Linked DNA regions of Cricetulus griseus. The protein of the gene in region 1 interacts with the protein of each later gene in a pairwise test. Links are inferred from orthologs where the notes say so. Each region holds a gene or a part of one and is shown on either strand. Other genes may lie near its edges.

Evidence for each region.
Region 2: the proteins of Homez (region 1) and Sh3rf2 interact in a two-hybrid assay, tested with the Homo sapiens proteins (2 studies listed by BioGRID). The two-hybrid records come from large-scale screens. The link is inferred for Cricetulus griseus from reciprocal best matches to the Homo sapiens genes HOMEZ and SH3RF2.

What each region holds. Positions count from the first base shown.
Region 1 is NW_023276807.1:210,068,845-210,077,002, reverse strand, and holds the start of Homez (homeobox and leucine zipper protein Homez), read left to right. Parts: upstream 1-2,594; 5' UTR 2,595-2,768; coding exon 2,769-2,775; exon of another isoform or gene 2,776-5,072; intron 5,073-8,158. Other genes in the region: protein phosphatase 1 regulatory subunit 3E, read left to right, coding at 1,670-2,086, 2,172-2,594. UniProt on the Homo sapiens protein: May function as a transcriptional regulator.
Region 2 is NC_048595.1:195,752,669-195,759,554, reverse strand, and holds part of Sh3rf2 (E3 ubiquitin-protein ligase SH3RF2), read left to right. Parts: intron 1-2,650; coding exon 2,651-3,009; intron 3,010-5,609; coding exon 5,610-5,885; 3' UTR 5,886-6,886. UniProt on the Homo sapiens protein: Has E3 ubiquitin-protein ligase activity. Acts as an anti-apoptotic regulator of the JNK pathway by ubiquitinating and promoting the degradation of SH3RF1, a scaffold protein that is required for pro-apoptotic JNK activation.

The DNA.
Region 1 (8,158 bases):
TAGTTCTTTCTTTCCTTCCTTCCTTCCTTCCTTCCTACTTCCAGACAAGGGTTCTCTGTGTAACAGCCCTGCCTGCCCTGGAACTCACTTTGTAGACCAGGCTGGCCTCAAACTCACATAGATCTGTCTGCCTCTGCCTCCTTAGTGTTGGAATTAAAGGTGTGTGCCACCACACATGGCTTTATTTTAGGTTTTTAAGATAGGGTTTCTCAGTGTAGCCCTGGCTGTCCTGGAACTCATTCTGTAGACCAGGTTGGCCCAAAACTTAGAGATCTGCCTGCTTCTGCTGGGATTAAAGGTGTGAGTCGCCATGCCCAGCCCATTTCATTTAAAAATACGTATTTTTTTATTTTATTATGTGGTTGTTTGTGTCCACGTAGGGTCTATGCTTACGTGAGTGCAGGTGGCCTTGGAGGCCAGAAGGGGGCAGCAGATCCCGTGGAGCAGTGCATGTTCTTAGCACTGAGCCATTTTTTCAGCTCCGTAACTTCCACTTTTATATTAGATGTCAACATTATCATTTAATGAAAATACTAGTATCGTCATTATCTGTTTTAATGTATAAGAACTAAATGACTAAGAGAACCTAGCCCCACAATTAGTAACTATGTGACACCGGGCAAGATGTTTTCCCTCCCTCCCCATCTCTCAACTTTCTCTCTGTAATATGTTAACAATTACTGTAATCATGCCTAGTGTTTTGTGTTGTAAACCTCTGTAGAGAGCAGGGGAGATGGGGCAGCAGTTAAGAGCACATAGCACCCTTCTAGAGGACCCTAGTGGATTCTCAGCGCCCACTTCTAGCAGCTCACATGCACCTGTAATTCCAGCTCCACGGTATCTAATGTCCCCTCTGGCCCCTGTGGGCACCTGCACTCCTGTATACATAAAGCCGGACACCATACACGTAATTTAAAAAATGAAGCAAATCTTTGAAAATAAAAAAGATCAGTAGAGAAGTTAGAACACATTTTACATACCACTGTAAAATTGTCACTAGCTTGTTTTTCAAAAATGAAACTGGAAAATAGCCAGTCTTGTGTCCACCGCTCGTCCTTTGGCGTTTTCCACTCGGAAGACTTAACCTAGGATTCGCGGCCTTTCTTTTCACTACGCCCATCTTCACCTCTATCCCAAACCTGTAGCCTGGGTTTAAGAAAACACTGAGCTCTGGGGAAGAGAATTAGCCTCTCGGCATTTTGAACTTTCCATGCAAGAAAATGAAGGATTACTCTTTCCTCCCCGCTTTAACCCTTCTCATACTGGAGTTACTCATTTGGGACCCCGAGGGTGGAGTCAGTCCCGCCCCCTGGTGCAGCAGGGAAGATAGATGCCGAGCCACCTGTCAGAGGGCTGTGGGCGGGGGCCGGGTCAGCGAGGCCCGCAGAACCGAAGGGAGAGCGCCGTTGAGCGCACGCTCAGAGCAGACAGCGGGAAGCCGGCAGGACCGACAGTCTTAGAAGACAGTGGGGTTGACCGCCAAAGGCAGGGAAAGGTGGTCAAGGAAACCCGCCAGGCCAAGAACGCGAGGTGACAGCAAGAAGGCGAGTCCAGGGCTAGCAGCTGCCGAAGCAGCCTTCCGCCCTATGCGCGGACGCGGAGCGGGTGGCCGAGTGAGGACGCGCCGGGCGGGCACTGTGCGCCGGCCCCGCTGGGGCGCAGGGGTGCCATGTCCCGCGAGCGGCCTCCGCGCACCGACATCCCTCGCAACCTGAGCTTTATAGCAGCGCTGACCGAACGTGCCTACTACCGCAGCCAGCGGCCCAGCCTCGAGGAGGAGTCGGAGGAGGAGCCGGGGGAGGGCGGGACCCGGCCCGGCGCCCGCTCGCGGGCTCACGTTCCGGGTCGGGGGCGCAGGGCCCGCTCTGCGCCCGCAGGTGGCGGCGGGGCGCGGGCAGCCCGCAGCCGCAGCCCTGACACTCGCAAGAGAGTGCGTTTCGCTGACGCGCTGGGGCTAGAGCTGGTCGTGGTCCGCCGCTTCCGCCCGGGGGAGCCGCCCCGGGTGCCCCGCCACGTGCAGGTGCAACTGCAGAGGGACGCCCTGCGCCACTTCGCGCCGTGCCCGCCGCGCGCCCGCGGCCTCCAGGTAGGCGCCCCGCCCCCGTCCCCGGGACCTCGGCCTCCGCGCTCCAAGCCCTCCTCTGACCCGCCTCCCCGCCCTCTCTCCTCAGGAGGCGCGCGTGGCCCTGGAGCCCGCCCTGGAGCCCGGCTTCGCCGCCCGCCTGCAGGCGCAGCGCATCTGCCTGGAGCGCGCCGACGCGGGCCCGCTGGGCGTGGCCGGGAGCGCGCGCGTGCTGGACCTGGCCTACGAGAAGCGCGTGAGCGTGCGCTGGAGCGCGGACGGCTGGCGCAGCCTGCGGGAGTCGCCCGCCGCCTACGCCGGCCCTGCCCCGGCCCCGCCGCGGGCTGACCGCTTCTCCTTCCGCCTGCCGGCGCCTCCGGTCGGCGGCGCCCTGCTCTTCGCCCTGCGCTACCGCGTGACCGGCCGCGAGTTCTGGGACAACAACGGTGGCCGGGACTACGCGCTGCTTGGGCCCGAGCACCCTGGTGGTGCCGGAGCCGCGGAGCCCCAGGGCTGGATCCATTTTATTTGAACTAGGCTCCTGCTGGCCACAGCAGGGACAAAACAGTGGCACCCAGGCGTGGGGGGAGACTGTGGCGCCAGGAACCCGGGAACCACAATTGGCAGATGGGTGGAGGGCGGTCCCAGAGAGTCAAGTCGAGGTGGCTGGAAACCGTCTGTGAAACTCAAGAGATTAGGGTGGAAAATGGCAGGTAGGTGTAAGCGGAAGGAACTCGAGATAAGAGGCCCAGAAGGGCTCTGGAAAGTGAAGCCTCCTTGGGCTAGGAAGCCCAGTGAAGTCATTCGGTTTGCTTCCCTCTCACTGGCCCTACCACCTCAGGTCCCCGTGCCCTGCCCACCCTAGCTTTATCTGAGCCGAAATTGCCTTGCTTAACCCCAGGAATTTGACCATTGCCCCTGGGCCCTGGCAGTGTGACAGCATTCCCTTGACTCTCAGCAGTTCCTGGCTTCAGTCTTCAAGGAAACATGGGAGAGAGTCCTTCAGCCACGGGGCGAGCCTTGGTGGCATCTGCAGATGGTGGCAAAACCAACTCCAAGCCTGCCCTTGTAGTCAAATAATGGGGCATCTAAGGGGTTTGCATAATCAGGCTTCCAGAAAAATGAATGCCAGCCTTACTTTTCTGGGTGCCTCTTAAAACCTTGAAGCACTTTGTGGACTGTCTGCGGAGGGACAGTGAATCATGAAAATCACTACTGATTTATTCTTTGTGCCTCTGAAAGAAGAGGAAACCACCAAGTATCTGTATGATTGAGCAGGTTATTTTATCTTTTTGGACTCCAGGTTCCTCTGTGAGAAATTGGATTTGAGTTAGGTGGTCCCTTAAGGTTCCTTTTTTTTTTTTTTTCTGGACAGGGTCTCTAGCCCAGGGTCTCCTGCCCTAGCCCCTGCTGTGCTGGGGTTATTGGTGTGAGCCACTATGTTTTTAGGGCTACATTTTGGTGTCTCATGATCTGTTCATGGCACAGTATAGGTTAGAAACTGTATTCTCCAATCTAGTGCTACAATTAAAGCCCACAGGGCAAGCCAGGTGTTGTGACACACACAGGGAGACTGTTGAGTTTGAGGCCAGCCAGCTAATATGATTGATTATTTAATCTATCCTGGGCTACATGAGACTGTCTCAGAAAATTAAAAGCAGCAGCAAGGCTTACCTAGCACAGTGAGTCTGTGGTTGGAGATGAGGATAGTCTCCCCCACACACACACCACTTTTTGGGAGTGGGGCACAGATGATCCAGGATACAGCCCATAAGCAGCCCATAGCCTCAGTGTGTTCCACGCCACAGCTCACCCTGTGCCATTTGCTCTTAACTTCCACAGACTTAGAGCCCCAGTCCCGTGAGAAAACGGAGACCAGTATTACTGTTAGGGAAAGTGATGCATGGTAGCCCCAGAATGGAACAGTTGGAACTCTGGAGGTCATGGGTATAAGAAATAGAAAACAAAAAATGAAGGCAGAGGTGACAGTTTGATCCATATCCAAGTCAATGAAATGGAGAACCTGGAGCCTAATGCAATGCCCACATTCACACCTCATGCCCTTCCTAGGGAGGCTCCAGGTGAGAGTTGGGTTTTGCTGGTTGTTTTTCCTTTCCTTGTCTTTCCCTTTCCCTTCTTTCTTTTTTAAGATTTATTCATTTATTGTGTATGCAGTGTTCTGCCTGCATGTTTGCTTACAGGCCAGAAGAGGTCACCAGATCTCATTACAGATGGTTGTGAGCCACCATGTAGTTGCTGGGAATTGAACTCGGGACCTCTGGAAGAGCAGCCAGTGCTCTTAACCTCTGAGCCATCTCTCCAGCCCCCTCACTTGTTTCTTTGAACATGTAGGACTTTTGCCTTTATTTCCACTCTTCACCCTTGTTGGTCTCTACGGGGCATCCCCTTTCCCTTGAGAAATCCCTGTCCACAGCCAGTTTCTCACTCCACCTCTTCCCTGCCAGGTACCCACACATCATTCAGAATTCAGTTTGGGGCTTGTCCCTTTGCCCCTGCAGTCATTCATCAAACATTCACATCTAAGCATCTTCTGACCTTGTACAGAAAACAGTTTGATGTTTCCTGGGGATCACCTTCAGGTTCAGCAAAGTCGCAGGAGGCACTGTACTGGAAACCACCAAACTCTGGTCACTCTCTAATCTTCAACAAGGAACCCAGGGAGACTGGGTGGAGGTTCCATTGTGGTGGCATCATTCCTAGTGTGTGTGTGTGTGTGTGTGTGTGTGTGTGTGTGTGTGTGTGTGTGACTGTTACTTCTTAACAGATCCTATTTAACTTGTGTGCTAAATGTGTGACATGCATGTTTAAAACAGCACTGTGACTTGAGCATTATCTCTTTTAGAAATAAGTCCAGACTCAGTAATTTGTTCAAGAGTATGGGATTGTGAGCCCAGGAGGTTCCCATAGTCTGTGTGGGTAATCATGGTGGTATGTATTTTTCTTTGATTAAGAACAAAATTAAAAACTTTGCTATATATCCTCTATCATAGGGAAAGACCATCATTCATTATGCTGTGCCTTCCTGTCCTCCAAGGGGCCCAGACTTTTACCCCACCTTCTCCTGTGCCAGCATTCCAGTTCTACAGGGTCAGAAAGGCACTAGCCCATGAGCCTGCTAGAGAACTCGGGAACCAATGTAAATGCCAGCTTTCCATACACTGGGTTCTCTCCTGGCTCTGGCCAACCCGCTATACCACCTGGCGTGGCATCTTTCCTTCCTCTCCCTCCATTATCCTTGACTAGGTACATTATTTATTTAGGTTTTTTGAGACAGGGTTTCTCTGTGTCTTGGAGCCTGTCCTAGAACTCGCTCTGTAGTCCAGGCTCTGTAGTCTAGGCTGGCCTCAAACTCAGAGATCCCCCTGCCTGCTGGGACTAAAGACATGTACCACCACTGCCCAGATTTTTTTTTTTCTTGCATGACCAGGTAAACTCTGATGTTCCTTGAGAAAGGTTCCTGGCTTAGGACAACTGCTAGGTGGTCTTTGCTGGGCTTCCTCTCTGGAACCCCTGGTATTATCAATTAGGTAAATGTGAGCTTGGGAGGGGACATCTGGATGAATAGGAGTCTTCTGGGTTCTTTGCTTTGGTTGTTTTTTATTTGTTTTTGTTTTGTTTTGTTTGAGACAGGGTTTCTCTGTGTAACACCCATAGCTGTCCTGGAACTGACTCTGTAGAGTAGGCTGGCTTCAAACTCACAGAGATCCACCAGCCTCTGCCTCCTAAGTGCTGGGATTAATGGTGTGCGCCACCAACACCCAGCATTTTCTGGTTCTTTACTGAGCTGCTACACACTTAAGAATAAGTGGATACTTTTCTCTAGTCCCCAAGGTTGGATGACCTGGACTGAGCTACCTCCTTGTGCACACAAATAATAGGTGCCTCATTCTTGGAACCCACAACCAACTAAGCTATCACTGTACCACAAACCTTGTAAAACGGGGGAGAGGGGCTATTATGTGTTGTCTTGTGTGTTATTTGTGTGCCTAGTCCCTTTGAGATTCCCAAAAGACTTTCCTGTTCAGATGTCGCTTTCCTGGTACATGAGTTCAAGATTCTCCCTGTCTCTGGCATTTCCTTACCTTGTAAGTGGACTAGTGTAGCAAAATCATAAATTCTACCACCAAAAAAAAGTGAGACTCCTTTCTTTGTTGACACCGTTCTTTCCAAGATTCACCTACACTTCTTGCAGTGCCAGTAAGCAAAGAGGAGTGTGCCCAGGGAGAGCAGAGCTACAGCCGTCTACTCCCACCCCCTTGCTGTCTTAGTCCAGCCAGACATGGGAAATAGTTATTAGTATTTGCTCAGATTAAGGTGCTCTGGTGGAGACTCTCTCTGTGGTTCCCATGCACTGGAAAGTGCCACAAGAGAACACTACTGTCCTTGACGAATCCCAGCAGAAATACCAGCAAAGTCCCTTTGACTTCAGAAAGCATCCTACACCTACCTGTCTGGTAGCTCTCCTTACCATAGCCTGAAAGGCCAGCTCCCAGATCTGCTCCAGGGTCGCAAGAGTAAACCTCAGAGTAGTGAGGGCTTAGGAAAATTCTTACCTATCTGAGGGTTAGACTTTTTCTGAGGGGAAAAATAAGAAAACACAGACACTTTCTGGTGATAACTTACTTCATCTTGAAAAATTCTCTCTGAAAAATCTCTCTTCACAGCTTCCTAATTAGCTCTGTAACCCTTCTCATATCTCTTTCTACACCCTTCTCTCCCACAGCCAAACTCTGAATGATAGGTTATATGTTACGTTTTCAGGGCCTGACCCATTCTCATAACACAAGATAAGTCACAGAGTTTCTCCTAGAGGGGTCACATTGGCAGGCCAGTGAGTAACCCGTGGCCATGGACATAGCTCTTTCCCAAACAGAAAATGACACTGGAATTCAATACTTGAACAATAATAGTTAATTAGCTAAACCTTGAATGGTAGGGAGTACAAGCAGAAAGTCCATTTATGTCTACTAAAGTTACTTTGAGCTCTGACCTTGAGTTAGCAAAACACCTGGGAAAATGACTTCATGTAGGGGCAACTAGTTTGCTTTGAATTTGTTCAGGAATCTAAAATTAGCTGTCTGTGTAAAAGGCTGTCTTTATGCCTGAGAATCCTATGTCAGTCTAAGTAATGAAAAATAATCCTACTGTTAATTCTATTCATCAAAATTATACAGCTTAAGCAGAAATCATCTTCCTGACTATCCACAGCTGTATGTGTGCACAAATAGATGGAATATATACATGGGATAAACACACAAGCAATGGGAAAACATGCTTAGCAGTTCTTAGGGAAGAAATGAAGTGGCTCGTGGGAGAAATTACAGACAGACACAATTATCTACAGCCAGTGATACCACAGCCTTGCTCCATTACTCATCTGGTGGGTCAGCCTGCTGAACACTAGTTGTCACCCCTGTATACCCTCCTGGCCCTTTGCAACCAGAAGCTCTTGGCACCTTTTCCTGGCCCTTCTTTCATTCTCCCTTTCCTCTCTGATATTTTGACTTGAAACATGGTTCTATTGCTTAGCCCAGTGTTGGGACCCAGACCCCACGGGGTCTCTATGAATTGTTTTCCAGCATAACCACAGGTACCTCCTGTTTCTCGATACTCAGACTTAGTGGTGGTGCAGGGCAGCCACAGCCCAGCCTGATGTCAAATGTGTAATGCTCCTGCTTATCCTCCCGAGGGCTAGGATTGCTGTGCTACTGTGCCAAGCTGCTTTTTAACACGATTGCCCATTTCTTTTATAATGAGCCCTAACTCTTCAATTTCCAACTTCTATGTTTTTGCTTCTAGCTTGTATTTGTTGGAGGCTCTTCTGGATGCTTGCCAGTCACACACAACCAGAAACACAAAAGGCATGTCTACAGAGATCTTTGGGTTCACTTCCTTCCCAGAGAACACAAATCCGGAAGTGAGAAGGAACCAGCAGTAGTTGTAATTTGTCAGTGTATTTCCAAGTCAGGACTTAACACTTGGGCCTCCTGATGGTCATAGCTTGTTACTCATGATTGTTATGGCAAGGGCAAAGGTTAACATAAAAGATTCCTTAGCTGGGCTTGGTGGTGCACA
Region 2 (6,886 bases), on another chromosome or scaffold:
TGAAGACAGTATTCAGAAAACCCCTGTTTTCTGCGATCTTGTTTATGAAATACATTCAGAGAAGTTCTTTCAAGTTATGCAAAAGTAAAACTCATATCCTGAACCCACCAGGTCCAAATTTTTCAAGACTGATAGATAGACACCTTCCAATCACACTCTGTGCACTGTTCCATGACTTTCTTGTTTCCCTATATAACATCCACACTGAGCACACAGCAGTACATGCAAATCTATAACTAATACCATGCTGTTGTTATTGACTCAATATATTAAACTTCTGCATGAGATCTCATGTGCAGGAATTCAGAAAAGATCTTGAAACATCATTGTACAAAACAAGAAGGATTCTTTCCTGTCACAATCCAAATGGGGGACAGATTATTTATTCTGTCTACATCTGTTCTACACCCGACTTAAAATTGGCCCTGCAGCTTCTCCTGCCATCTCAACAAACATTTAAACATGAGATAAAAACATGGCAGGTCGGATTAGCCCAAAGGGACAGTATGCCACAAGGGAAAGTCACTAGGAACAAAAAAGCAAGCGTCCTTATCCTTGTTCTAGTCTTTTCCATCTCACAACCTGCATAGCCTCTAACTGTACTAGTACCTCCTGTTTCAGCCATCAGCCCCTTCTTTTCTGCCCCCCCCCCACCGATTATTCACGATAACAGACTTGGACAAGTCACCATCGTCTTTATTTTCCTCATTTGTAAAATGGGAATAATAATACCCACCTCATCACCCTCCCTGTGTTATATAATGTTGGCATAGTATCCCTATCAGATATAATTAATGAGCTAACCATACCGTATCTAGCACATAACAAGCTCTTGAGAACATTTTTTTAAGTTATTTTCTTGGTAAAGTAATTTTAATTATTAGTAAATAAGCCACTTCATTGCTACTACAACTAAACAGATTGTCTTTGGTCCATACATATCATGAGCTTGTTTAGGACTGAAATAATCCCTCAGTCTAGACTGCTTACCCACGAAAAGACTTGCATTCCACTTATGATAGTTCACGTTTTTTGTTTTTTGTTTTTTGTTTTTGTTTTTGTTTTTAATACACTGCTTCTTCGTTGCTGTGTAACTCTTGGTTGACCTGGAGCTTTGACTGTTTGTGTTGTATGCACACGTGGTAAGACAGTATAAGAACTCTTGAAAATTGGAAACTGACCAGATAACCAGAGAGGCAAGAAGCTAAATTTCTGCCACATCCATGGGAGCCAAGGACATGTCTGCCTGGTGTGGTTTTGCCCTCCCTAGTTCCAGAAGCTTTCCTTTCTCCCTTTTTCGAAGGTGACAGGTCAAGCTGATGGTCTCTCCAAAGGCCCCTGTGTCAGGGGCTGTCAGTGGAAAACCTAAATGGAAAAGTCAGACTCAGCTAATGGCAACATGCTTGCAGTATCTGAAAATACACCTGGGCTCATTGTCCACAAAAACTTCCCGACTGGTGAAGGGTCACAACCACAACATAGTGTGGTTTGGCTCAGGCCCTCTAAGCTAGACACACTAAGCTAGGACTGATACAAACACATGTCCAAACCGGCAGTAGTGGCACACACCTTTAATCCCAGCAGTTGGGAGACAGAGGCAGGCAGATCTCGGTGAGTTCAAGGTCAGTCTGGTCTACACAGTGAGTTCCAGGACAGCCAGTGCTGTTACACAGAGAAACCCTGTCTCAAAAAAAGAAAAAAAAAAAAAGAGCCTTAAGAGCTGGGGAAAGCCCTTCATCATATGTGGTTCTTCAAATGCTTGGAGACCCTTTGAGAATGACCCACAGTGCTTCACAAGGGTAACCCCCAGTCTTTTATCCAGAGGCAAGGACCCATTCCCTTGATTACCTATAGAACTTATGCCTAAGGGATGGGACATCTTCCTTACAGCCTCTTAGCGGGGCACGTGGTTTTCATTAACTGAGGAGGGACTGTCTCAGTGAGGCCCAAACCCACACCATCAGACGTTTGCATTGCTAGGGCACACTGTGCTATTCTTCGAGAACAGTGATATCCAGCAAGCATCTGTGATTTTCAGGCACTGCCTGGCAGTTTATGTGCCTTGTAAGATGCAATCCACACCCTGTGTTGTGGTTGGGAACTGTCGCTGGGCTGGAAGTAAACACCAACAGTGAGTACAGGTGGTGTTCTCAGCTGCTGCCCCACCCCCACACTTAGTTTCTATTAACAATTTCTTCAGCAGGCAGACAGCAGCAGCATCCTCTCCCTCTTCAGCTTTCCTGCTCCGTTGTCTGCTCACTCTGATTCTCACTTTCTTCTTCCTCTTTGGCCTGTCTGCCTCTGTGTCTGCTTCTCACAGTGAAACCTTGTGTGTCTGTTTTCCTATCCATCCTAAAGGGCTAGAGGAAGGGAAAAGGTGGGGGAGAGAGGCACATAAATTGAAGCGGCATACCTTCAGACACTTCTCATAGCATTCAGCTAGACATTTACCTCCTGCCAGCAACAGCAAATAGCACTAAAGAAAACAATGGGTCACCTTTGAAAGACCCCAGGAGAGCAAGTGTGAGCACAGTCTCATTAGGAAAGCCCTTACCTATCTATTCTGGGATATCAGACACATTGTATACCCAGCCTGCATGCCACCTGCTGTCAGCCATCCTATTGCTGATATTGTTCTGTCATCCCCCAGATGGATCCTTGCAGAGACCAGTCCAGTCAGGGATCCCCACTTTCATGTTGGGATCCCTCAGGCACAGTCCCACCATGATGATCGGGCCTCAGAAGTTCCATTTCTACCAGCCACAGGGAATGGCCTCTTCCCCTCCACCCATGATGGTGGAGATGGGGTCTAAACCCATTTCCACTGGGGAGCCTGCCCTGACCTGCATCAGCAGAGGCAGCAAGACCAGGATCCATTCAGCATCCAGTTCCTTCATCATGGAAGGCAAAGAAATACCCATCAAGAGTGAGCCACCATCCAAGCCACCTGCGTCTGCCCCACCCTCCATCCTAGTGAAACCAGAAAACTCAAAAAATGGCATCGAAAAGGTAGGAATGGAGTGACATTGGGAGTCTGACTGTTCAGCCTCCTGGTGTTGACTGTGCACTGTCAACATTGCCAACCGCACTGGCAGCCTCCAATAAAATCTTCACACACAGCCGGGAGTTGGTGGTGCACACCTTTAATCTCAGCACTCGGGAGGCAGAGGCAGGTGGATCTCTGTGAGTTCGAGGCCAGCCTGGTCTATAGAGCGAGTGCCAAGATAGGCTCCAAAGCTACACAGAGAAACCCTGTCTCAAAAAACCAAAAAAATAAATCTTCACACACAGCACACCCCACCCCATTCACACCAAGAACACCTTCTCCCTGATAAACATACTCCTCATTCCCTTTATATATGCTTCTTCTGTGATCCAGAAACAGCCTGGAGAAAACATGGTTTGGTTTGAATCACTGCTCTGGTTAGGTGGCTCTGGCCAAAACACTTCACCCTTCTGGGGCTGTGTTTATTCATTCATTACTTACTTATTTGCCTGATCCATAGAAATAGTAATATAGGGTCTAGAGAGATAGCTCAGACATTAAGAGGACTTACTGCTCTTAGTGAGGACATGGCTTCAGTTCCTAGCAACCCCCTGGTGACTCACAACCACCCACGACTCCAGTTCCAGATTTGATGCCTTCCTCTGACCTCTGCAGAGACACTCATGGTGCACATACAGACATGCAAGCAAAACACACCTGTATACATAAAATAAGCCTAAAAATGTTAGGTAAATAATAATAATGGCCATTCATGGCCTTGGAGATGACATTGTGTAAGCTATGTGCAGTATTTACACAGGGCTTGATACATTTTTTTTTTTATCAAATGACAGCAACAACTAAGACAAGGGAGAATTTAAATGACATCAAAGTCACGTGGAATGATAATTCTAACAGCTGACTTATTATGTCATCAATCAGACCTGTTAACATCTGGTCTGGAGATTTTTGTGCTAGAAGACATGGATTTTTCTAAGGTCCTTGAAGCAAGAGAGATGACATTAAGGAATCAGGTGATGTTCATCATAATCCTTCAGTTTACTGAGCATCACCACACTCGCCAATCGTCTTCCCCTCACCACCACCCTCACTACCATCTCACCATCACCCACTCTCTACAAAACGGATGGGATGGAGTTTCCTCCTATTTGTTATGCTTTTACTAACTACTAAATATGCTAACAGACACCCTGCACAGAACTCCATGTGTTCCATCTCATTAAACCCCTATAACAACCCTCTGAACTAGGTATTATTTTCATCATCATTTAGAATGAGGAAGCAGAAGCTTGGGGAGTTAAACACATTGCCCAAAGTCATGCAGCTGACATCTGTATCTGACACAAAAGCCCAGGTTTTTCCTCTAAGCTTGTATGGAAATGCATTTGGAAAAGTTTATGGTGACTGACAGAAAGGTTGGCGTGTTCATTCTAACTTCCAACTTTCATACAATCTAAAGGATCCTACACCCCAGCTGTCCAATATCCCAAGTTATCAGACACAGCCCCCCAACTCTGAAGTCCCAAGATCCTGCTGCAATCAATAAAAATCAGAAAGTAGGGGAAACTAGGAGACAAAGAGGAGAGAATTTCATGGAACAAAGAAGTTCCAGAAGTACCACAGAAAGAACATTTTATTAAGCCCTGAGACAGTGACTGGCTAAAACAAACACCTTCAATTGCCAAGCAAAATACATACCCACCTAGGAGACATGAGAGGAAGAAAAGTGAGATGGGGCTTCTAACAAAGTGGAGACACAGTCTCATACAAAGGAAGCTACTCCTCAGCTCAGCCAGGTGGTGCCAGTATTGATATAGGCCCAGAGTTCCAGATCATAGATTATTTTGGATGTTTGCATTTAAGTTTTATTTTAGTTTTGAGACAGATTTTTCACTATATAGTTCAAACTGGCCTCAAACTCCCAATCCCCCTGTCTCAGCCTCCAAATGCCTATGCTATCACACTTGACTCTGAATCTTCCATATTTTAAAGATACGCATGCAATGCTGGTTGCTCTGTATATTTGTCTTGTGGTCTTGTGTATGGGGAAGTCAGTCAATGCTCAAAGGATGCATGGCAACAGCAGATACTCAGGGAACCAGCTCTATGATGAGCATTTCTAAGGTGATGATAGTGAGCTCAAAGAGGGGGTCATCAGGAGAACTCATGAGAAAGAGCCAGCCTTGAGATAGACCTTAAGGAAATGCAGAGGGAAGAGGTGAAAGGTGAACCTGTATTTTCCACTGCTGACTCTATTTTTCCCAAATTATTCATCCTTATTCTCAAATCCTTCTGCCTCAAGAAAGGTTTGCCTGGCTACCTATTAGATGCTACTCCACTGCCTCAGCAGGTTACTCTTCTCCCATCACAGCACTGACTTTAATTTCTCATTGGACAGTGTGGGTTTGTTTGATCTCTGATCCACAGCACCTCACAGGGTATATTACATAATGCACAGAAGACACAAATGCTTGCTGAATGAACACCACCTAAATGAGGCATTTTGAGTGGTGACAACCGTAGAGAAAGGACACAAATCTTATCAAGGGGTAGAGGGCAGAGTACACATCTCACCCACAGTCCTTTGCTTTCTATTTTACAGCAAGTCAAAACCGTGAGATTTCAGAATTACAGCCCTCCTCCCACCAAACATTATGCCTCCCACCCCACCTCTGGAAAGCACGAACAGCCATCCACCTTGAAGGGGTCTCAGTCTGAAGCAATCCCCTCAGGAGCAGAGATGACCATCCTATTTGCCCACCGAAGTGGCTGCCACTCTGGACAACAGACAGACCTTCGGAGAAAGTCAGCTTTTGGCAAGACCATGCCCCCACTCTCCACCACTTCAGGCTCACAGACCATTTTTACCAGTCAGTGATTCTTTGGATGGCTTTTCTTAGACACAAAAGAGGTGAATAGCATGTAAATACAGTCTGCCTCCACTACAGGCATCCTACTGTTCTTCCAAAGGATTAGACTCCTTCATCTCCAAGCTTAACCTGAAAAAATGGAAAGGCAGAAACTCCTCCCTGGGTTGGTTGGCCTTCTCCATACATATACCCCCAATCCACCCCACCCCTGAGACAGGGTGTAGCCCTGACTGTCCTGGAACTCACTCTATAGACCAAGCTGGCCTTGAACTCACAGAGATCTGCCTGCCTCTGCCTCCCAATTGCTGGAATTAAAGGTGTATGCCACCACCACCCAGCATATTTCTAAACTTACTGATTTGATAGAGTCAAGCCCACTGCTTAAGCCAAAGAATGGGGACAGTGTCAATGCCTGTGCCCTCTGCATGCAGGGTTTGGCCTCTCATCCTATGTGCTCAATGTAAAACATCTCTGTATCCTAGGACAGCCAGAGTATGGCAGCAGTGACATTTTTCTCAGGGACTCTTTGATCCCATTACCATCCCCCTCTCTTTTCATCACACTACAACAGCCTCTGCCATCTTCTGAGGCTGTTGGTTTTCATTCCAACGTCAAGCTCCAGCTGCAAAGGGAGAAATGGGAGGCGAAGATATGGTATGAGATGGACATTTTGAACATTCGGAGAACCCACTAAAACTTAAGGGAGTTAACTTCCTGAGTTCGCTACAAACAAGGTCGTCGAGAATACTGACTACCAAATACCAAAAGATTATCATGTGTTACGCTTCTTGGCCTGTTTCTTCCCATATAATTCTATACAGTAGATAAGCAGGGAGCATAGAGAGGCAGATAAGGGACGTGGATGATATTATAGACTTTTCATCCTTCCCCTCAAAGCTTGAAGGCAACCTTGAATGCTCAGTGAGTTTAGATCTATATTCTGCTTGCATTCCAATATTTTTGTTCTCCTTAGCTCCTAATCATTTGGGCCAGATGACTATAAGACAAT